3 linked regions of the Struthio camelus genome follow. The main gene of each other region encodes a partner of the protein of the gene in region 2 in a complex. Links are inferred from orthologs where the notes say so. Each region holds a gene or a part of one and is shown on either strand. Other genes may lie near its edges.

Region 1 (7,689 bases), on a different chromosome or scaffold from region 2:
TGATTTGTTTTCACCCATGATGACAAAGTTCAAAACTTGTTCTTTTATGGTCTCATACTAATGAAAATTTCAGTTACCTAGGAAAATAATCACTGAAGCATAACTTACAAGGAAAAGAATTTTTTTTTTCAAATATACAGAATTTGATGCCTGCATTGTGGTGAATGGCGCAGAGTCAAGTTGGAGGCCTGTAGCTAGTGGTGTCCCCCAGGGGTCAGTCCTGGGTCCAGTCTTGTTCCATGTATTCATCAGTGACCTGGAGGAAGGGACAGAGTGCACCCTCAGCAAGTTTGCTGATGATACTAAACTGGGGGGAGAGGCTAACACACCAGAAGACTGTGCTGCCATTCTGAGGGACCTGGACAGGCTGGAGAGGTGGGCGGAGAGGAACCTCCTGAAGTTCCACAAAGGCAAGTGCAGGGTCCTGCACCTAGGCAGGAATAATCCCATGCACCAGGACAGGCTGGGGGTTGACCTGCTGGAAAGTAGCTCTGCAGAGAAGGACCTGGGAGTGCTGGTGGACAACAAGTTAAACATGAGCCAGCAGTGTGCCCTTGTGGCCAAGAAGGCCAGTGGGATCCTGGGGTGCATTAGACAGAGTGTTGCCAGCAGGTGGAGGGAGGTGATCCTGCCCCTCTCCTCAGCCCTGGGGAGGCCTCACCTGGAGTACTGTGTCCAGTTCTGGGCTCCCCAGTACAAGAGAGACATGGCGCTCCTGGAGAGAGTCCAGCGGAGGGCTACCAAGATGATTAGAGGGCTGGAGCACCTCTCCTATGAAGAAAGACTGCAAGAGCTGGGCCTGTTCGGCCTGGAGAAGAGAAGACGGGGGGGGGGAATCTGATCAATGTGTACAAGTGTCTGAAGGGAGGGGGGTGTCAAGAGGATGAGGCCAGCCTCTTCTCCGTGGTGCCAAGTGACAGGACGAGAGGCACCGGGCACAAACTGAACCACAGGGAGTTCCATCTGAACACAAGGAGAAACTTCTTTCCTGTGAGGGTGACAGAGCACTGGCACGGGTTGCCCAGAGAGGTTGTGGAGTCTCCTTCCCTGGAGATGTTCAGAAGCCGTCTAGACACGATCCTGAGTAACGTGCTCTAGAGGCCCCTGCTTGAGCAGGGGGGTTGGACTAGATGGTCTCCAGAGGTTCCTTCCAACCTAAACGATTCTGTGATTCTGTGATTCATATTATTTATATTTCCAAGGGTCTGTGTCTACAGCTAGATATAGAAAATACTGTTAATGACCTAGAGATTAAAAGCAAGCAAAAATGATGAACAAACGTCATGGTCTCTTCTTCTATTTTCTTTTAGCAGCATTCCCCAAATCCACAATTACCTGTGAAAGGGAAGCTCTAAACAGGTTAATTCCGCTAGACAGCAATGGTCTCTTCTGATATGATACTAAACTATAAGGTGTTAAAAGAGTTCACTTACTTGTCTTTAATCTTACTAACTCAAAAGTCTTGCATGCTTTCATTGCAATGACTACAAGGTTATAGTTGTTTCATGTTCTGTGTACTTCCAAAAAACCCTGATATTCTTGCAGATTTGTCTCCTGAAGCTTGAAATGATTTGTTTTTTTAACTCATTCATAAGGTAATTGCATAAGTTTAATCAGCTTTTACTTTATGTAGAAGGAAAAGTGTTTCAGTCACACACTGTGCTCCTAACTTTGTATTCTCATCCTTTATCCCTTACGGTTTTCCCGATAATAATAAAATGAAGATTAAACAACTCTGAAAGACTTCTCTTGTAGGAAGACCTTTCTCAGAGAAAATACCAAGCTCCATCTGTTTCAGTTTCCAAACAAAATTTGTAGAGTCTTTCAGAGTCTTTTCTCAGCTGTGGGTTATGTGTGATTTCCCCCACCCCATCCCTTACTGTGCTGCTTTTACTAATACAGTGACCAAGAACTAAAAGAGAACAGACGGGCTGGGAGCATGTCAGCTGGATTCTACTGCTGCTGCTATCCTGTTACCAACTGATGGCAAGATACACAGCCTCCTCTCACTTCAGTTCTCACAACCTGGGCATGTTGCTTCCCACTGCTATATCTGAATGGTGAGCTTATCTTTATCAGACGCTTTAGAAGCACTAGAGATGTTTGCATAGAAGTACTTTTTAATTACTTTTAATTGCTCTTTCCACAACCCAGACCTGTTGTGCTCATGCATGATCAGGTCAGACTCATTACAGCTGTGGGACAAAGTAGAATCCAAACAAATAACTTCCCTGGACTAGGACAGCTTCACGCAAGGCCAGCTCAGGTTTATCTGTATTTTAATCTAAATACTGAGAACACAGTGCAAACACACTTAAGTGTTTCTAGGTAGAGACAGCCGGCTTCGCTCAGACTTATTAGCTCTGTCTCAACAGTAGAACTCTAAGCAGGAGCAAGATGGTGGGAAGCAACTGGATCCTGTGCAACAAAGAGCCAATTTCCTCATATAAGGCTTGAGCATGAAAATGTTGGCTACTGCTAGGAAACTACAACAAAGAGCAGTTAAGTTTCAGCTAAAGTGACTCATCTGCAGAGGGATAAATATAATCACCTATGTATGTCACTTGTGCAGCGTCCCTTAGGGCAATCTCTGGAGAAATGTCTGCATTAATCATTGACTTTAGTTCTTCAGCTGTTCAAATCAACAGCCTCAATCAGCAGCCATGCCTCAGATACCTAAGCAGAAATCGCAACTTTGAGTCCTCTAACATAGAGAAAGCAAAATGATACACAGGAAATCCTGTGAATGTCAAGGGCCACTGGGTTTGTTTGTTTTTTCAATGCAACAATGATTTCTTAAGGGCTTTGGATTACAACAAGTTTTACAGCAGTGATAAACCCTTCAAAAAGCTGATAAGGGAGAGAACAAGAGCTTAACTAAACAACAAGCAGGAGGGCCTCATGAGGGGTCACCTGGCCCCAGCTGATTGTTTACAAATATGTGTCATGTAGAGGCAGCTGTCAACACACCACCGTCTCTGAAATGAGGCTCATGAGGATGACAGGAAAAAACTTTCAGACTGTAGGCAGTAAGGTAAGTACTTCAGCCTTTTAGCTCTTGTGTGGCTACAAGAACAAATCTGTATTCTTTCCAAGGCAAGCCTTCCTCTCTACGGCTATAATGGAAACAAATTCTCCCTACAGTGCACTGAGTTAGCTGTTACCCAACCCTGCAAAGCTTGAGGAAGGAGTTCTGCTCTCTGAAAAAAAGATGTGTTTTCTTGACAGTCATAACTTGAGTATGACTTACACAAACAGATTAAGTATTTGCTATTCCTTGTTTGGGTATTATCAGGGTATGCTTGGGGGATGGGGGAGAAATCATTCAAGATTGTCCCTGGTTAGGGTTTTTTTTGGTAGAGAAAAATGATGAAGAACAGCACAAATGATTGTTCTAGGGTGAATTATGATTTGTTTTAAAAACAAACAAGCGTCAGAATTAACACGCTGTTGTGCACACTTTTGCTAATACAAACAAGAATGGAACTTACTCACTACAAATCTTTTAGGAAGTAGTTAGTTCTAATATTTTCTTGTTTTCTTTGAATATAACAACACTACTGCAGGAAGTTTGTGCTGCTGGTACATTTTTAAGTATCTCAGAAACAAAAACAAAAAAAAAATTCAGTCCTCAGCTGCCTTAATCACAGCAGAAGTACCATCCAGTGTAGGTGGAGAAATTAATGTCTTTCCAGGTAGCAGAGCAATTCCAAGCAATTCTTCATTAAAATAGTTGCTGCTGGCACCTATTGCCAGCATCAGCCACCAGCAGTCGCTCAGGGGCAGCTGTCAGTCATGGCATCACTTGACAAACATTACATTATACTATCACACAGTTAAGCGCTGCATTACAAATGGAGCTAAGTAACTCCAAACCAAGGCCTGATTCTCACCTGGTTTAAAGCAGGCTCTTTTCACATGAGGCTAGTCTTTCACAAGCAGAAGGTGTTGTTGAAACACTGCAGCCCATCTTTGCCGGCGAGAAGGGCCCACAGCTGCCCGAGCAGTCACCCTCACACAGTGCAGGGCACACAGCACCCTGATTCTTCACCACTGCCCTGGATGTACCAGCAGAGTTTTAACCGCAATTATTCTAACTTTTTTCCTTCTCTAGGAAACCAGCAAACTGTAAAAGTCAGACCAGCCTAACGCTGTGCTAATTTGATCCAGATGAGGCTAACACACACCAGCCCACCAAGCTGCAAAGCCACGAGTAGTTACTATAATCACACATGGCAGGCACCTCCTTGCTCAGAGAATACATTTTTCTGTCACAGATTTAAGTCTTCAACTGCATTTACAAGTTCATTGAGCAGAAGCACAGCACCACGGCAGGGGTAACCGCTGTTGTGGGGCACAGGGCGCTGACGACAGCGGTCAGGGTCAGTTCCCCAAACCCCGAGCAGCCGCCAGCCCTGTAACACCCGGGCAGTTACCTAGAGCCCTACCGCAGCCTACATCCAGCCTCTTTAAGCCTTTCCCCTTGGGGGGGGGGGGGGAGGGGGCAGAAATTCACCTTTCCACACAAGGCGTCCCGCCCCCGCGGCGGACTAACGGCCGACCAACGGCCGCCGCCGCGCGCACGCGCGCAGCGTGACCCCGCCTCGCGCCAGCCCTGACGCCATCGCGTTTGGCGCGAAAGCGTCCGCGCGGGAGAGGGTGTGGGGGGGGTGGTGTGTGGAGGGCCGGCGGGGCGGGGCGGGGCTCTGCGGGTCGGCGGCCGCCGATTGGCCGGCGCGGCGGAGCACGTGGGTCCCGCTGTGGCGCGAACCGTTGCCGGGTGCGTGTGGCGGCGGCGGCGGCAGCGGCAGCGGCAGCGGCAGCGGCAGCAGCAGCAGCAGCAGCAGCAGCAGCAGCGATGGACCTGGCGGCCGTGGCGGGGGGCGACGCGGGCGCGGCGCAGTCGCAGCCACAGCTCCGCGATGAGGTGGCCGAGAAGTGCCAGAAGTTGTTCCAGGACTTCTTGGAGGAGTGAGTGCGGCCGGGCGGCGGCGGGCCGCGGGGTGCAGGCGCCTCAGGGAGGAGGCCGCCATTTGGCGAGGGCCGGAGCGCGGCGGGCCCCCCCCGCCCTCAGGCGGGAGCGCCCCTCCCCGGCCGCTTGGGCTCACCGCTGAGGGCCCTCTCTGTTGCGCTGCGGGTTGTCAGCCTCGGAAGGGGCGCCGGGAGGCAGCGGGCGGCTCTCCCTCCATTTGCAAAACCCCTGCGAGCTCGCTTCTGCTGCAGCTCTTCTTTCAGGCCTCTTCGCTTGGTCGCTTTTCGCAAAGTTTGGTGGCTGCCAGCTTCAAAATCCCCCTCGCGCCTTGCTTCCGGCAAGTTAATACGTTGGACTTCCGAGGCTTCGCTTTCCAGGGGGTCCTTTAGCACAAACAAGGAACCTGGGAGCGCGATCGGCCCCAAGGAAGCCAAACCCGTTCGCTTCGGTAGAGTCATCCTTAAACCATAAATAAAATCCCGGGTGATAAACCAGCTATGTGAAATGCAGACCCGGTTCTTTCTGTCTGGGGCCTTTATAGAAGAAAGGGGACAGGAGGAAAGAGGCTGTTGGGAAAGACATTTGCAAGGGAATGTGGGATGCTGTGTTTTTCCGGGATGCCCCGCGGCATATCCTTTCCTTCTTCTCCTCTGTGGCGTTCAGAAGCGTTCAACTGCTGCCCCATGTATAACTGCGAATGTTTTCTTGAACCATACTCGCTTTCAGGTTCCAGAACAGCGACGGGGAGGTCAAATACTTGCGTGATGCTGAAGAACTGATTCGGCCAGAGCGGAACACGCTGATCGTAAGCTTTGTGGATTTGGAGCAGTTCAATCAGCAGCTTTCTACCACTGTTCAGGAGGAGTTTTACAGGTAAAACGTAGAGATTACCTGAGAGCCGAGCAATGCAGTCTCAGGCCCATAAGGTCTTAACAAATATTCATCTGCTTTCACTAGGGTGAAAACTCTTACCATTTAAAACATGTTTTTTATTGGATCAAAACTTTTTTTTTTCTTACCGGACTGATACTTATTACTTCTGTCTCTTTAAGAAGCACGACTTAACTAGGCAATTGCATTTACTCTGGTAAATAGGTGATCAGTATGGAAACATAGTGTAAACTTTAGCACTTCTTACTCTGAAAATGTTTTATTGATCCAATGACTGATTTTCAGGCTCTACCACTTATTATATGGGTAAACTGGCATAAAATAAGCCTCCTTGGATAATAAAGCAAATGGTAATATGCAGTAGTCTCACATTTAGCATATTTAGACTAGCTTTGGTGTGTTCTTATATAGTGTGGCAGTATAAGACAGAACCTGCAAATGGATGGTACAAGCCTTTGACACAGGCTAAAGTGAAAAAGACATTGTGATAGTTTCTGTAAAATTTGAGCTTATTTTCTGTCTTTCAGAGTTTATCCTTATCTCTGCCGAGCAGTAAAGACTTTTGCCAGAGACCATGGAAATGTTCCTTCAAACAAGGACTTTTATGTCGCATTCCAAGATCTACCTACCAGACACAAGTAAGATGGTTACTGATTCCAAAAACTGGTGTACTTATGTGTGGGGAAAGAAATGTTCAAGCATACTGAAAATGTTTTGACTGTGTAGCAAGAAATTTCCAGTTTATCAGTGCAATTGTGAAGAAATTGCCTAATCTTGTGCAGAGTATGTTCTGAAACACTTCATCTTCTATGAATCATGCAGACACTGGGCTAGATGGGAAGGGACTATATCACTAACGTTCACTATGTCTCTAATATATCACTCTCACTAATATCACTATGTTCATCATATTCGGCAGACACATGTAGCTTGTCTTTTTGAAAAAGGATTTAGGTTAAGTTATTTTTTGAAGCACAACTGAAGTAACTTTTAGATGAATATTTAAGCTCAAACCAATATTAAAAGTTTCTGTACAGTCATAAAATGAGAAAACATTGTAGCTGTTCTTTAATCACAGACTGCTGAAACTACCTAGTGTCTTAGTACTTGAATACTACACTGGGCATAAAAATGCCAATTCAACTAAGAACTCAATCCCTATCAATTTCGTGTTTTAAACAGAATTCGAGAATTGACATCAGCAAAAATTGGCTCACTGATGCGTATCAGTGGACAGGTGGTACGTACCCACCCAGTTCATCCCGAACTTGTGAGTGGAACCTTCCTATGCCTAGACTGTCAGACAGTGATTAAAGACGTGGAACAGCAATTTAAGTACACGCAACCAAATATCTGCAGAAACCCAGTCTGTGCCAACAGAAGGAGATTCCTGCTGGACACAAACAAATCAAGATTTGTTGACTTCCAAAAGGTATATTGGTGGGGGGTGTGGGGAGGGACTAATAAAGACTTTCCTGTGCTAGTTGAAAGGGTATTGTTTGCACTGCTACACATTGATGGTAGTTAATTTTAGTTCTGTCAGCATCAAGAAAAGGCCTCAAGAAAATGCATGGGAGTTTCTACTAACAGTTTCTTTCTGTCTATGGAAGACTTATTTTTAAGCCTTGGGAAGTTATAAATAGAATCAAAGCAGCTTTATCACATGACATTTATTTTCTAAGTAAGCCAGAAAAAGCCCACATATTTAGGTCACTGTCAGTCTCCTCTGGCAGGTTCATCAAGTATAATTATTTTATACAAGTATAAAAAGAAGTGTCTCTAGTCTCTTCAGTGTTTCACTCCTTTAGATTGTTTTACTTTGCCAA
Region 2 (7,589 bases):
TTTCATTAATGAGCTTAATAACAGGATACAAATTATGCTTATTAAGTTTGCAAACGACATGAGGGAGGAGGAGGAATGACTGCAAGCATGCTGGGGGGGTAGAACTGTAATTCATAATTATCCTGACAAATTAGAGATATGGTCTGAAAACAACAGCAAATACAGGATGAAGAACAATGGTCTGGGTACGCAATCTATACCATTTCACTGTGGACTGCAATCTGAATGTGCATCAATGTCAAGCTATTATGAAAAACAAGAGTGCTGCATCAGAATGAACAAACTGCAGCATGGCCTAAGAAATTCATAAAGTAATTTTTTTTTTGTTTTGTTTTCATCAGCACAAGGCAAGGCTGAAGCAGGAGAATGTATGCTGTTCAGAGCACTGCACTTCAAAGCAGATGCATATCAACTGGAAAGGCTCCAGCAGTGCACAATAAGGACAAGTAAAGGCTAGAAAGCATGACCCACAATGCGATACTGAATGAATTGGGACCATTTATTCCAGTGTGGAGAAACCAGGACTGGGAACACACTCAACAACGTTCAAATACAAAAAAGCCTATTGCAGGAAGGAAGAGAATAATCTGTTCACTGTGTTTACTTTGGATGGAACGAATAGAACAGAGCTTATATTGGAGCAAAGGAGATTTAGTTTAGACAATAGAGGGAGCCTTCTAAGACCAGGACAGTAAAGCACTGAAACAAGATTGCCAAGGGAGGTTGTGAAACCTCCCATCATTAGGGAGCTTCAAAAAAAGTTAGATAAATAGAAATAATATAGGGCGAATTCATTCTGCCTCGGAGCAAGGGCACTGACTAAATAATCTTACCTCTCCTCTAGTCCTGTTTTATTGTATTTTTATGAAATGTCATATTTACAGTAGAAAATTCCAAGCTAAAGCTACACTCCTGGATGCATGCTTGGGACTTCCATTAACTGCACCAGGCTCTGCAGTTGACAAAAACGATCACACAGCCTGATCTAGAAATCCTTTCTCAAGTCAAAAGTCATCTGGATTAAAACAGAATATTTTTTCTGGGTATTGCAGAGCAGTTGGGAACAAGGAAAAGATGGAAAAACATCAAATGAAATTCCATGACTTAGTTCAATTACTTGCCTGCAAGATAGTCTGAGCTATCTCAGGATTCTCTGGATTGTCAAAGTTCAGGAGCTGGGAGCCAAATCCATAGTAGTATGGTCCCATTTTATGCAGATCAACCACATTGGCATCAGCACTGAACACTGTCCTCCAGGCCTCCTTGTAAATCTTTGGCAGTTCCATAGAAATTATTCTTCTCTTGCTGTCATGTAACCCTTTAGCAAGCCACAGAGGTATTTCTAGCTTTGATCCCTGCATGAATGTGACAGAAACAAAAGTTGTCCTCCCCAGGAAAATACGTATAAACCCCCCAAAAAGACAGTGAGCTTTAATAATGAAGAATAAAGTATTACAAAAAGTCAGTTCTGTTTACAAAATTCTACTGTGGCGAAAATATGAAATAGATGCACTTCAGAGGCATTAATTATTTCTGCCAGACTCTGAAAGCATTTTATTGGAGTGGATAGGAGACTATGAAACGCAGGAAGAAAAAGGTGCAAAATGACTACAACAAAGATAAAAGATACAACAACAGCTAAAAGTTTCTTTCCAGCACCCCTAAAAACAGAGGCAAAAAAAATCACTCGTATGTTATCCTCGCAGCAAGAGGGAGGTTGTTTTTCAAGAAAATAACTTGAAACGCAAGTCTTTTCAGCACTAGGGCCCCAGATCAGTCCAGGGCCCCATCTGGAGCCTGCAACACATGGAAAGAAGTCTGCAGTATCGTGGCGAACCCATGAGCTCTCTGAGCCCACATGGGAACAGCAGCCATGCCCTACAGCTTGAACACTGGATGCACGAGCCAGGGAACCATTCCACTAGGGTTCAAAGTGAAGAGGGAATCCATACTTCCTAGGGTTCTTGCCTCTTTGTAACATTTAGGAGAAATAAGACTACAAAACGCTTGAGAAGTGAAGGAAAATTCTAGCTACATAAATCGGCTCAGTGGCATGCTCTGCTCAGACACAGGACGTGCCATACAGATGCTTTCTTCCCTTACAGCTTGTCCTCCGATTTCACCAAGCATCTCAAAGGTCCCATGCTGCAACCAGAGCAGGGTACAGGCTTCTGTACCAAAACCACACGCAGCCCGAGGCATCAGATTGCAAAGCCACCAGGGCCGATTCCTGATCTAACGAGAGGCAGAGGGATACCGGGGGAACCTGCTGGGGAGATCTCCCGTCAGCAGCTCCACGCTACACTGTCCCATGCCACAGCTCGGTGGGGCGGCGCCTACAGCTCCCAGTGTACCCCGCGCCGCCGCACAGGTGCCCGCCCGCGCCCCGCGGCCGCTGCTGGCAGTTGTAGTTCCTGCTGCCCTCGCCCGACGGTTACCTCAGGAATGGAGTCACCCGGACCGGCGCCGGCTCCTTGGCCCAACGCGAAGGCCAGGCGGGGCAGGGTGCTCTCGGCGCGGCCCGGCAGCTTCTCCTGCGACATGAGGATGTCGTCCAGCGACAGAAAGTTCTCCTCGGGCCCCAGCCCGGGGCCCACGGGGAAATACGCCTCGGACATGGCAAGGCGAGCGGACGCGAAGCGGCCCGGACACCTCAGGCCGCGGCTCCCGCTCACTCGGGCAGACTCTATCAGCTGCGGCCAGAAAGCGCGCCCTGGCGCATGCGTCCTGGGGACTCCTCGGGAGGCGGGAGCAAACGATTAGCGACCGCAGGATAGGCACCGACAGTCCCCGCCGGGCCGGCTCCAGTAGGAGGGGTAGCGGCGCTGTCCGTCCCCGTCCCCCCGCACCGGGAGAGCCCAAAGCAGGTGCCTCCCCCCGCCGCGGCGCTCTTGCGCGGCCCTCACGCCGCAACGCCGGCGGGGGCCGGGGGAGAGACGGCTCCGAACGCGCGCGGCGCCGCCGGAAGCGGGGCGGGGCGGCCGGTAACTGCCGGCGGGACGTTGGGCAACGGGAGGCGCAGCATGTGAGGGCGGGGGCTCCCGGTGAGTAACGGGGGCACAGCCGGCCCTCCGGGGCTCCGCCCCGCCCCTTGGGCACGGGCCCACCCCTTCAGCCATAGCCACGCCTCCTACCGGGCACAGCCCCGCCCAAGGGCCCCTCCACGAGCGCAGCCCCGCCCCCAGACCCTCTCGCCTCGGCAGAGCCCGGGCCCCTGAGGCATAGCCCCGCCCCCAGGCCCCTCACAGCTGTAGCCAGGCCCCCTCGGCGGCACAGGCCTGCCTCCAGGCTGCTCCCTGCTAGGCAGAGCCCCGTCCCCTCAGGCACGCCCCGTCCTCGCAGCCCTCGCGACGACACAGACCTCGCCCCCATGGGCACAGCCCCGGCCCGGCCCGGCCCGTGGTACCGCCCCGCCCCGGCAGGGCCCCGCGCCCGCGGGCGGTTGCGGCCCGGCCCGGTGGCGGTCCGTCACGGCGGCGCCCCGCTCCCCGACTGTGCCGCCGAGCCTGCCCTGCGCCCCTAATGGAGGCGCATTGCGATGGTGGGATCAAACGCTCTGGGCTGCGTCCTGATCTTGGCTGTGCTAGCATCAAGCCAGTGTTGCCCTCTGGTTTTATCTGGATTTTACCTCAGATATGTGTTGAAGTAGCAAACTGGAATCGGACCCTGTGCTTTTGTTTGAGTTCATTCTTCACCGCATTAAAGTTGCCTTGCTCTTCCTTGAGCCGTGAATGCTGCAAACGCTGTGCTCTATATGCACGACGATCTGTAAAGTCAGGTTATTTAAAATACCGAGTAAATACTGCAGCCTCTGCCTCCCATCGCGTGTAGCTGCTCCGCTCGGGAAGAGGAGCAAGCAGCTGAGCAGCGCTGCAACCCCGAGACCTGACACTGCCCCCAAAAAATAATGACAGTTATTTGTAGGGATTCTGATGATTTGTTTAAAAACATTTTCAGTATGTAACTAAGGTGTAAGATAATGTCTCTTCAATTATCTTATGATTCTGGTGACCTCGGCGTTCCCTGCCCTGCTGTTTGCTCAACCTGGATTTGCTGCGATTTGATTCTTCTTTTTTTTTGGCTTCATTAATGAGCACACTGGTACTTTAATATCTTGATCAAAGTCAAACGACAAAACAGTCAAAATTTGCACCAGTTTATTAAATCTTGTACTATTTTATCTTGTACTAAGAAAATAACAGTGAAAGAAAAATAAAGCTGCAGAGCCTGAGCCGTTAGGATGAGGCACTTCCATCATCTGCACATCCCTTAGGTACCATGGCAATACATGCTATACAAATACAGCCAGCTAACTACGAAGCAGCAGGTTTAGGGGAACTGTGGTATGCTGGATTTGTGAAAATCTAAGTGCTGTCAATTTGTTAGACAAGTAGCAGGGGTAGAGACCAGTGAGCAGAAGAAATATATGCACATGTGTATGTAAATGTGACACCCACACACATGTGCATATATTGGATTTTGTAATGCCCCCTTTTCCCATTAATAAGGTGCCTTAAATCTTGAAAACAGCTGGAAGGCCACTGCCTGCTCCTGAAAAGAGTTTGTGTAAAAGGTAATTTGTAGTAAGACACTGAATTTTTATCCATGGCACAGAAAATAGACATTTTATTACAGGGAACAATCTTAACTATGGTCCTGTTTTTTTCAATGCGAGAAGAAATCTTTCCTTTTAGAAAATAAATATTTCTGTCGTTGCACATTTTCCAAATGAGTTACAGGGCAATTTACAGAAGCATTTTTTAAAGGATAGTTCTGATAAAATTATAATTTACTGATTAATTAATTAATCAATAAGGATTAATAAGGATTACTAATTAATAAGGATATTCCCTGATTAACTGGGTTTAAGGAACAAAACTCTATGCTAAATATGAAAGCTTGCACTGTTTGAGTGAGAAGAAAGCTACATAACTGGAATAAGCTCTTTTCCTAGGGTGCAGAAGTAAGATGTCTACAAGAAGAAGAAAGAAAACTACCCTTTTTCTATGTCCTGAGATGCCTCAGCCTGTAGCATGTGGTACTGAAGTAAGGCATGAAGACCCAGAGAGACTAAGGTATTGGACAAACTTGAAGGAAGATCTCAAAGGGGAAGATCTTTTCACTCATTGTAAGATCAGCTGATGAGTTGTTCTGTGTGAATTGTAAAGAACGATGGATTTGGCAAGCAAACGTCTCCCCTTTTCATACTACCAGTTTGCCTTCCCATCCCGAGAAAGGTATAGGAAGGCTCTTATCCTTGAACGCTTGTGAGTGAATCTTAATTTAAAACTATGCATAATCAGTCCAACATCCCAAACCATTTTCTGTTTTAATAAATATGATTTCAAGACCTCTCTGAAAGAAAGGGAACGGCTTGTGTTATAACTGACCCTGCTTGTACATTGTGTATGTATAAGCTGGAGGCCTCCTTCTCCTCCTGCATTTGTAGCTTTGAAGAGACAAGAATTGTTCAATAAGCAGAATAGAGAAGGGAGCAGAAGTGTGCTAAGAAGAAGAAAGAGAAAGAAATGTTGAGAGAAGATGGTGGAGGAGGGAGGGAGGTGGTGAGGGAGAGCAGCTGCCAAAACCTGAGGACAGCAGAGCAAAATACTACTGAAGCGTTGACTGTGATGGGTAAAAAACACATCACTCCCAGGTATGGTAGATAAATTGAGGCCAGGGAAAAGTAGAGGAAAGAATAAAAACTTAGAAAGCAAGGGACAGTAGCTGAATCCCACCTATGGACTTCTTAAGTCTCAAATATCAGGAAATTGAGCCTATTTAATATCTCAGATAAGCTCAGGGAAGCAAAACTGTACTACTTGCTGCTTCTAGGGACTTGCATTTGATCAGAGCTGGCTGGCGTGTATGATATGGATGTTGCAGTTGCTGCGATGTGATGTGACAGCATGTGTATGTGCTGTTCTGACAGTGTCAGCTGGTGCTGCTGTCTTGGGTAATTTAAATAAGATTAAAGACATGAAATGAAACAACTGAAGAAGCAGCAGGATATTGATGAGATTACTGGGGCAGGCATTAGAGCAGGAGGTACCACTCCCTGCCACCTCTCCTCACCTGACTTTTCAAAATCAAAGTGAGAGGGGAAACATCAGTCTCAACAGCACAGACAAAGTCTGAAACTGAGCCTACTTCTCCTCTCATTTGGAGTCTCAAGTGCCATATATGCTTATAGCACGACTTGCTTTTACTATTTGTGTTTGTTATCAAGTAATTAGAAACAATGGCAGGGATCCTGGCTGTCTTCATGTCCCTAAATGAGACCACTGATTCCAGTGAAGCCAGGCCTGGCTGAAAGCTTCCCAGGTGCACAGGGACCACTCAGGTGTGTGGCATGCACACATCTGCGAGCAGAGGTTTCCATTTCACGATGTGGGGGCTGAGGGAAGGCAGCAGATTGTACCTCAGGCCCTCCGCCTACATTCCTGCCCTTTCTGAGATGGCTCAGACCCTCCCTTTTCCTTCTGGGACTTCAACTCATAAGAATAGATTTGCATTTCCTAATCAGTTAACTTGCCTGGCAATGGGAGTTATTCTTTGTAAGTAATGCCATATTGTATTTTTGATACAAGCTTTTGCAAGCCCTTTGTTGTGCAAATATGGACCTATAACTCAAATAAACCTATTGGCTTCAGTTGGATTACCTGTAAGAGAGTTAAGTGCTATGTCATATGAATAAATACTGCTCTCTAACAGATAGATTCTGCAGTCTAGTAGCAATTTTATTTTTTGAAGGAAAAGGGGAAGCAGCACAAGTCACTAGTTAAACTGTGGAGATAATCACCTGCCGGTTCAGTTCATCTGCAAATGGGAGAGATTTGGCAATGTTATTAATGATCTACCATGGTCAGGTTTACATCTCAAAGTATCATGTCTTTTCATGTGGAGGAAGGGAGGAGAATCATGGCACATTTTGCAGATAGGAGAACGGCCACAGAAAAAGGGAAGGGATTTAGGGTTACCAAGCATCCTGTGGGAAGGCAAAAGTAGAACTTGGTTTCCCAGCTTCTAGTTATCATCTTTCAGACAGAAGGTAGCAATGTCAGCAGGATCTCTGGCCAGCTTGTAAAATTAATTTCAAACTCCTTTAAGTACCTACCGAAAAGGAAAATTAAAGTGATGAGGTAAACCAGATGTTATAGTTAGTATTGCAAACAGCATTTTTAATAACAAAGTGAAAATAGAATCATTTCTAGAACTCTTCAATATTTTTTCCCAGCTGTCATTCACTGTGTGAATCTCTGTTATCATGTGGGAGTGGATTCAACAATTTCCAAGGCATTTTTAACTGGTCTGTAGTTCTGCTGGTAAGTGGAAAGTCACAACTAGATCAGTAGCAGGCATCTGATGAAGGTTTCTCATTTAAGAAGTGGTGCCATGCAGCTAAAACCTTTCGTGATTTTAATGGGAATACTGGCAAAAATTTTTGGTGCTTCTCGCCTAAGCTCTTGCATTTGGAGTTCCCAGGGTGCCAATTTACTATTCTTTTGGTTTAGAAATGGAAATTGTGATGACTATCTTCAGCAAATAATTAAGAAAATTACTGATTAACGCACAGCGCTGTATTTCTG
Region 3 (7,746 bases), on a different chromosome or scaffold from region 2:
ATTAACTGCTCGCATTTCCAGCGGGGTAAAAAATGCTGCACAAGAACACAGACAAACTTTCCCTGAGACCCAGGCCGCCTGGATGCGTTGCTGCAGGCGGCCTGCTCTGTGCTGCGCCGCCGTGTGTAGCAGTACGAGGTCAAACAGCGGTCCTGGGGCACGCAGGCGGCTTGCAGCGCGTGCGAGGCGCTGGGTGCAGCAACTGCAACGTGCTGCGAAGCTGGGATGAGCAGGGGAGCGTCACAGGAGCGCAGGGGAAGAGAAGGAGCAGGAAAGGGGTTAGGACCCCGCTCGGTTGTCTTTCGTACCTGGCTATTCTTCTTCAGCAGGACGGTGGTGCCATCATCAATCTCAAATTCGCCGTAGTCTTTTAAGCACCGCACCTGCAAAGGCAAAGGGCAGCTCTCTGCAGCAGCAGCTCTCCGACTGAGGAGCACGTCGCTGCCGACGTATCGCACACGCCCCCAAACTGTAAGTACGGGGCCGTTCCTGCCCGCCTGGCAGAGCCTCCGTCTGGGACAGGCACCTGAAACGCAAAACCAGATGGATCCCGTGGCCTGTTCCCTCTATCTGACCTTCTCTTCCTGCACCTGCCTGCCAGCGGGCAGCCCAGGCCCTCCACGGAGGCTGCTGGAAGAGCAGCGCTGCCAGGAGAGGCCCCCCCCACGCATGCCAGAAAATGCCAGGCTGTGAACGCCAGTGAAACCGTCTTCAGGGGCAGGTTTAGTTCCCCTAGAAAGTCTCTTCCTAAGAGACCATCAGAACACAGCGCTGCAGCTCCTGCCTCCGAATCCGTTGTTCAGGTGCTCGTGCTCTCTTGCATCAATTGTATAAAACAACGCTTAGTCTCATCCATGAAAGTCCATTTAAAACAACAACAAAGGAAACTAGTTGACAATCTTCAAGATGGGAACGAGGTTTCTAGTTGATCCAAAGAGTTTTTCGGGAGACAAAATTCAGTTTTTGCAAGACAAATGCTGCATAAAGTTTTCACAGTAATTCAGACCCCCCCCCCCCCCACACACACACACACCGGTTCCCTGCAGGTTGGAAATGCCATGTTTCAACATACTTTGAGCTCTCAGAAGAAGAGAGAGTAAAACACTGGCGGGCAGAGTTTATCGAATGGCTTTGCTCAGTGAACTCCCCAGCTCGGGAGGAAGCCGAGATCTCTAAAGGAGAGTGGCTCGGTCAAGTGCCTCCCGCCACCCCCAACGCAGACAGAAGCCGCCAGTCCTGCACTTACTTCGATGTACAGGCTTTTAGGAGGCTTTATGTCCTGCGTAAGGTCCAGCCCCTCCTCTCCGCCTACTGACCTCATGTAGGTGGCCAGAGATTTTTTGTACCGGTTGAACCACTCCACCTGTGGACATTAACAGCAAACAGAGCTTTATTTCAAGAGGCGGTTTTAAGCCTTTAAAAACAAAACTGCCGCGTTATCACCCACAGATGCAAGATTCTGCTACAAAAATCCAGACTAGCAGGACCAAAGGGATTTGCGCTACTGGGACTAACCAGCAGGGATTCTGCCTAGGACCCAGGGGTCTGCCCTTGCCACTCTTGGGACAAAAGTGATTCTCTCAAGTTTAAGATTAAAGAAGAACCTTTACTGAGAGAGACATCTCCATGCCCCCGCATAGCTAATGCTGAGGGAGGAGGTCCATGATGAATCGGCTCTGGTGTATCTGTGCTGTCAGACCACTGTTCCCAGGCGTGCTCATGCCAGCCGAAGGAGCGCACAAGCTCTTCTAAAGGGAATAAACTGCCCCAGGCACAGGGCAGCCGGGGATCAGACTGGGACACGTGCTGGAAACAAGATCAGCAGCGCTGTACTTCAGTTTACAAATGGCGTTTGAGACGAGCACAGGGAGAGCCTGCCGCGCCGGGTGCGAGGGCGATCGGGTGACGACCTTCTGATCCCGAACGGTGCCAAGCTGCGCCTGCACTCAGCATCCGTTTGGGATTGCATCCTTGGAAGGACAATGAGGAAACAAACGGATACTTGCAGAAAGGCACACAAAACATCGTGCATCTAGAGTGGAAAAAAAAAGTCTATCCTATTTTGACTCGGCTAACCTGATGGTTTCTGGGGAGGAATAAGTGGAAGGGAGGGAAAAGGGGACAAGGCTGACTCACTTCCTCCGCTGACATGTGAAACTGGATGGCGTTTGGCAGGACGCTGCCATACTCCCACCTGAGAGCGCGGATCCGCAGCAACCGGTCGTACCTGGGGGAAGAAAGAAGGGACAGAGAGAGAGAGAGAGAGAGAGAGAGAGAGAGAGACCTCGCTCCAAGGTCTCTCTGCTGAGACCAGCGCTGGCACTACACCTGGGCAATGCAGACACTCGGATCACTCCTCAAAGCAAAGTGCAAAACCGGGGTCGTTCCACCCTCCTTCCTTTCAAGGCGGTGGTTTTGGATCTATTTGCTAATTAAAAGCTTTCAGAGAGCAGGGGGGAAAGAGGGATGCTCCATGCCCCCGACAGCTGCTCTCTGCCGAGGGGCTGAGCCGGAGCGCCCGGTCCGGCACTGCCGCACTCACAGGTAGGCCACGACGCAGCGCTGGTTTCGGAGCAGGCAGCAGTGGCGAAACCGGATGAGGAAGATGAGGTCCGTCCGCCCCGACTTCGCTTCGGACCTGGAGAAGGAGGCGGCACGTTACGGCGGGGCAGACGCCGCTCCCGGTGCCGCCGGGCGTGCGGGGCTCGCCGCGGCCCGGCGGCGGGCACGGCCCGCGGCCCGGCACTCACACGTCCGCCTGGTTCCGCTCGTACAGCGCCCGCATCTCCTCCAGCGCCTGCCGCAGCCCCTCCGCCTGCGGCACCGACACGGTCAGCCCGGGGCCCTCGGGACCCCCGGGATCCCGGCCCGCCCCGCGGCCCCCCGCTCACCCGGAAGGGCGGCAGGTGCCCGCCGGCGGCGCGGTGCAGCTCCCGCACCAGCCCCGCCGCCCGCTCGCCGGCCATGCTGCCGCGGCGCGCGCGGGCGCGGGAAACCGGCCCCGCGGCCCAGCCAATGGGGGCCGCGGGCGGCGTGACGCGCCCCCGGGGGGCGGAGCGTTGGCCCCGGCGGCACCGCGCAGACAGGCGCACGCGATGGGGGGAGAGGGGGGGGCGGTAGCCAGCGTTAGGACGTTCCGCCCCCGGGGAGCGCGTCACGCCGGCTCCCGCTCCGCCCCCGGCCCCCATTGGCTGCGGCGGGGCCGGTTTCCCGCGCGCGCGCCGGGGCGGGAGCGGCGGGCGGCTGCGGGTGAGCGGGGCCGGGGGCGCGGCCGGGGCCGGGGGCGAGGGCGGGCGGCGCTGTGCCCGCCGGGCCGCGGCCGCGGCCAGCCCGGCAGGGCGGCGGCGGGTAACGCTCGTTGTCGCCGCGGTGACGCAGGGGTGGGCTCCGCGGTCGCCCGCGGGCCTCTGCCCAGCTCCAGGCCGCCCTGCCGCGACCCTCGCAGCCCGCCCGGGGGGCGCTCCGCGACGGCGGGAGCTGGATGACGGCTGGACGCTGCTTGCGCTGCGGACCCCAGCGCTGGAAGCCAGGGAAAGGGGTGAGGAAGGAGCCCAGATTCCCCCTGCGGCTGGCCCTTTCTGCTGCTCTCTGAGGGCCGGAGCTGGGAGCTGCCCTTCAGCCGCCAGCGGCGGCGCGGCGTCCTCCAGCCCGGCCGGGGCTCGTGTGTGGGACACAGCGAGCTCTGTCGCCGGGGCGGCGGGGAAAGCACCCGCTGCCCTGGTGTCGGTGCTGCAGTGGTCTCCAGGATCTCTCTCCAGCCCCCTCATCTGTGGGGTCTCCTGGCTCGCTCTCCAGCCCGCCCGGAGGATGCGCCGGGACAGCAGGAGGAGGCAGCGGGATCGTGTCCGTGGCGCCGTTGGGGCCGGCCGGGGAAGCGGGATGGAGACGCCGCTGTCGCCCCTCGGTGGGGAGCAGAGCCTGGCGCAGCGGGTGAGCAGGGAGGACCCGGAGCCGCGGCAATCAGCAGGTCTGTGGGAGCGGGACGGCCCCGGTGCCGCGGTCGACGCGTGTGCGCGGTGCCGGAGCGCGGCTGGGCGGGACGCCCCTGCCGGGGGCTCGGCGTGGCCGAGAGCGGCTTTCCCAGCCGCTCGCCCCGGGCCGGCTGCGCCGCGGGGCCGGCAGCGCCGCTGGGGAGCCCGGGCTGTCACAGCCCGGCCGGGGGGCTGGAGCTGGGGCCGCTCGCCGCGGAGGGCTGCAAAGCCGCCTGCAGCGCAGCCCCGGCCCTGCTCGGGGAAGCGGGGCTTTTGTCCCTGCTGGTGAGAAGCGCGAGCGCGCCTTGATTTTGCGATTTTGCCGGGCTGCGCGCCCTGTGCTGCCAGGTCCTGGTGGCGGGTCCCTGGCCCCTGGCAGCGCCCTCCCTGCCCGCTGCCGGGAGCCGCCTCGTGGGACGCCGGCTGCCGCCGCCCAGAGGCGCTGAAGGCGCTTTCCAGCCCCAGGAGGAGCAGACTTGCGGGTCGCCTCGGCGCACCCCTCGCGGAGGAGCCGCGGCAGGACGCAGCCCGCGCTCGCTCCGCTTCTGGGAGCTGCGTCCCACCTGGCTGCGCTGCTGCGCCGGGGACAAGCGCAGTGGGACCGTGCACGGGCGCAGCCCGCTGCGGGGTTTTGGCTCTGGGAAATAAATACACACTGGAGCGGTGCAGCCCCCCCCCCAGCAGCAGCAGCAGCGCGACACTCGCTGTGTTCAATCCAGGGTTTGTTTATTTAGCCCCAGCGCCGCTCTCAGCAGGCCCCTTCCTCGCCCGCCCTCCGCAGCCCCTGCTCGGGGCGACCTGCCTGCGACTGGAGCCCGGCACCATCTGCGCACCCTTGGGCGGGGGGGGGAGGCCACCGTCGCTGCAGAGACCATCTCCAGGGACGAATCCTGCCCCGGCATCCCCTGATCCCAGGGTTTGGGACTTGGCAGCCCCAGGGATACAAATATCTCACTGCACCCCCCCCCCCCCCCCGGGCTTGGCCTCTTTCTTAAAGGCATTGGGTCAGTGCTGGCAGAGACTAAGTGAGGTGTGTGGGGACAAAAAATCAGCGAGGCTTTTTTGCCCCCCCACAGCTCACTTAGTCCCTGTTGCGGAGGGGGCGTAGGCTTGAACCAGGCCCAGGGTAGGCTGGGGAGGGGGGGCCAACACCCTTCCCTCAGCCTCTCCCGGGCTCGGGCTCAGCCCCCGCCCCCCTCCACAAAAAAAGCCTCGCTGATTTTTTGCCCCCCCACACCTCACTTAGTCTCTCCCTGCACCGGCCCCATTGCTCCCAAGGGGATTTCTCCTCCTCTTCAACCCACCCACCTCGTGCCCTGTGCGGGGGGGTGAGCGGAGCGCTGGCTCGGAGCAGAGAGACCCTGTTTTCCCCCAAAGTGAACCCGGCTGCTACTGTTGGGGCTGTATCCAGCAGGGCCGAGCCAGGTGCAGTCCTGGGGGACGCGGGTCCGAGGACCGGGAGCTGCTGCCGGGGCCGAGCTGGAAAGGTCGCGTCCTTGCTGCGCTGCTGCGCCCCGCAAACGCGGTGGGCTCCCCCTGGGTCTTTGCCTCCTGCCCAGTCCAGCTGTTCAGGCTGGAACAGCCCTTTCCAGGGGGGTGAACCCAGACATTGACCCGCGGACGCTTTGCTCCCTTCGGGACCTGAAGCCCCCCGGGGCCTGAGGCAGCCGGTGCTCGCCCCAGCGCCCCGGGGACCGGGCTCCGCAGCTGCTGAGGACGCGGGCTGGGCCAGAAAAGCTCTTCGCTGCGACGGCAGCCCTGGCGCCGAGGCTGCCGGGCCTGTGGGGTTGCTGCCGGGGGCCTGTCCCGGCTGTCTGGCTGACGGCACCGCGCGTGCTGCAAGGGAAATAAAACATGCGGAAAAATATATTAAACCAGCCATAAAAAGGGGATGTGCTGTAAAACGACCCGCTCGGGCCCACAGCTGCCAGCGGTTCATCTGCACAGCGATCCCAGCCTCAGGATAACGGAGAGGCCACGTGAGCAGGCAGCTCGCTGTCCCGCCTAGAGCCACCATCAGTTTACTGCCCCTTCCCATAGGGCAGGATTGGCGATAGGACCTGACTGCCTCCTTGAACAGCAAAGAAAGCGGTTGAAAAATACCTGGTCAGAAACGTATTTGCATACTCCACGGGCAGATCGCCGCCTCCTGCAGCGGAGCCGTTCCACTTTTCCTTCCCCGTCAAACGCTTCGTCGGCGTGCCTGGAGACGCCACACTGAGGGACCGTCACCGTAACCTCAGGGAGAAAAGAAATAATAAAGATAGATGTCTATCGGCCACGGGCCTTCATTCTGGCGCTGTTTACACGCACGCAGTCTAACTTATCGTTACAGCTGGCAGAGCCATTTTTCATGTAAGCACAACTGTAGACGCTTCCTTAAGGCCTTGCGGGGGCCGCGCGCCCCTCCTCTAGCCAGGTGCAGCGCTCACGCAGGCATCGCCTTCCCCACACCCGTGCCTCAGTGAAACGAGCAAATGAATTATTGCATTACTGCTCGGTATATTTCAGCAGTCCTTAAAATCCTCAGATGAAATGAGGCCAAGGTCACGGTCAGAAAGCATCGTCTCAGAAGAATCGCGCGACTTACCCGGACGAGGCTGGCGAAGAGCGGCACGATTACTGCCGCGCTCTCCCTTTTGCGGACGGGAAGCTCGAGTCCGGCTCCCCGTTGTTTCGGAGGAAAACATACAGAGTCCCCCGAGTGAGTTAGCGCCAGATGCTTCACCGCCACCAGGTCCACCCGCGGCCGGGGCAGCGCCGGGCCGGCCAGCAGCTCGGACCCAGCAGCTCCATAGGGGCGCTTACAGCCAAAACAGCCTTTTCAAACCGCCGATCCACATGCTGTTAGAAGCCCTTAGCCTAAAGCTGCCCAAGGTGACAGGCCCGTGTTAGCACGGTGGCCCCTGTCCCCAAGCCTTCCTTTCCGTCAGGGTATTTAGGCTGAAGAACAGGACTCGGAGGGGCAGCAGCAGCCCAGGGCGCACACCGAGAGGAGGGCAGCAGCCGCATGTTGTCCACGGCCAGCGAGTAAGGCGGCACTCACGGGCCCGAGCGGCAGCGACAGCGATTCGGGTTATAAATCAGGGAAGCCTGTCCAACAGCACCAAGCCAAATCTACTGCGGAGGGCTTACAGCCTCCCAAAGCAGCGTGTTTACAGCAGGCTCGACAGAGCTGTGCGTTGTCATGTAACACAGGGAGCTGGACTAGGTGACTTCTCCCTATTTTTTTGGTCTTAGGTTATTTTCTTCATATTTCATCAGAGAACAGGTTTATTCCCAGGTTGAGTCACCTACCACCAACCAAGCCCCAGACTCGCACGGGTGCCAAGCGGGTGCACGCCGGACAAGCAAGCAGAGAAGTTCGCTTCTGTCGGGCGAAGCGACTGCGCCTAGGCCAAAATAAGCACCCCGCGTCACCCGTTCACCCCCGGGCAAAACGAGTCGGGGGCCGCACGAGACCTCGCCGGTTTGTTCGAGCCTGAGCACGCACCACGAAGCGGACCCGCGGCTGTGCCCGCGGCCAGCCCCGGGGATACAGCCGCGGCAGTCGGGAGATAATCAGTGATTTTAAAACACAAAAAAAAATCAGCCAAGGGAAGCGCCCGCGCAGGAGATCTACGCGCTGGGCGAGCACCAGCCCACGGCAGCAACAGACGAAGCGCGAGAGCCGCGTCGATGCTAGCTGCCCGCACGGCGATGCAGGTATAAACGCCGTTCCCGGGGCTAAACCCGCCCTGCGGCTGCCGCAGCGCCCGGCGAGGGCACGGGTTCA

The links. The genes of interacting proteins can lie anywhere in the genome.
Region 1: GINS3 (region 2) and MCM6 share a complex: the UniProt entries of both Homo sapiens proteins name them as parts of the CMG helicase complex. The link is inferred for Struthio camelus from reciprocal best matches to the Homo sapiens genes GINS3 and MCM6.
Region 3: the proteins of GINS3 (region 2) and GINS1 are in contact, whole or in part, in a cryo-EM structure (PDB 8Q6O), measured with the Xenopus laevis proteins. The link is inferred for Struthio camelus from reciprocal best matches to the Homo sapiens genes GINS3 and GINS1. Residues at the interface, in NP_001080618.1 of Xenopus laevis: Trp2, Pro4, Tyr5, Met6, Pro7, Val8, Glu16, Asn17, Phe18, Leu19, Ser20, Leu21, Glu22, Asp23, Leu24, Leu25, Ser27, Gln28, Ser37, Phe39, Pro40, Arg41, Leu42, Phe44, Leu45, Pro63, Trp65, Leu66, Gly69, Leu70; in NP_001085502.1 of Xenopus laevis: Met1, Phe2, Cys3, Glu4, Ile7, Ile10, Arg11, Leu13, Gln14, Ser17, Asp18, Gly19, Gln20, Leu21, Glu49, Arg55, Asp57, Leu58, Pro60, Thr61, Lys63, Phe64, Arg65, Cys67, Cys68, Arg71, Arg74, Cys75, Val77, Ala78.

The regions. Positions count from the first base shown.
Region 1 is NC_090947.1:38,880,072-38,887,760, reverse strand, and holds the start of MCM6 (DNA replication licensing factor MCM6), read left to right. Parts: upstream 1-4,671; 5' UTR 4,672-4,858; coding exon 4,859-4,971; intron 4,972-5,698; coding exon 5,699-5,845; intron 5,846-6,390; coding exon 6,391-6,501; intron 6,502-7,045; coding exon 7,046-7,295; intron 7,296-7,689. UniProt on the Homo sapiens protein: Acts as a component of the MCM2-7 complex (MCM complex) which is the replicative helicase essential for 'once per cell cycle' DNA replication initiation and elongation in eukaryotic cells.
Region 2 is NC_090951.1:30,427,013-30,434,601, reverse strand, and holds the start of GINS3 (DNA replication complex GINS protein PSF3), read right to left. Parts: upstream 3,034-7,589; 5' UTR 2,619-3,033; coding exon 2,439-2,618; intron 1,356-2,438; coding exon 1,122-1,355; intron 1-1,121. Other genes in the region: diacylglycerol O-acyltransferase 1, read left to right, coding at 4,969-5,075, 7,238-7,325. UniProt on the Homo sapiens protein: Required for correct functioning of the GINS complex, a complex that plays an essential role in the initiation of DNA replication, and progression of DNA replication forks.
Region 3 is NC_090944.1:139,909,529-139,917,274, forward strand, and holds the start of GINS1 (DNA replication complex GINS protein PSF1), read right to left. Parts: upstream 3,019-7,746; 5' UTR 2,967-3,018; coding exon 2,892-2,966; intron 2,816-2,891; coding exon 2,751-2,815; intron 2,639-2,750; coding exon 2,543-2,638; intron 2,228-2,542; coding exon 2,137-2,227; intron 2,033-2,136; coding exon of another isoform or gene 1,835-2,032; exon of another isoform or gene 1,626-1,834; intron 1,364-1,625; coding exon 1,247-1,363; intron 384-1,246; coding exon 309-383; intron 36-308; coding exon 1-35. UniProt on the Homo sapiens protein: Required for correct functioning of the GINS complex, a complex that plays an essential role in the initiation of DNA replication, and progression of DNA replication forks.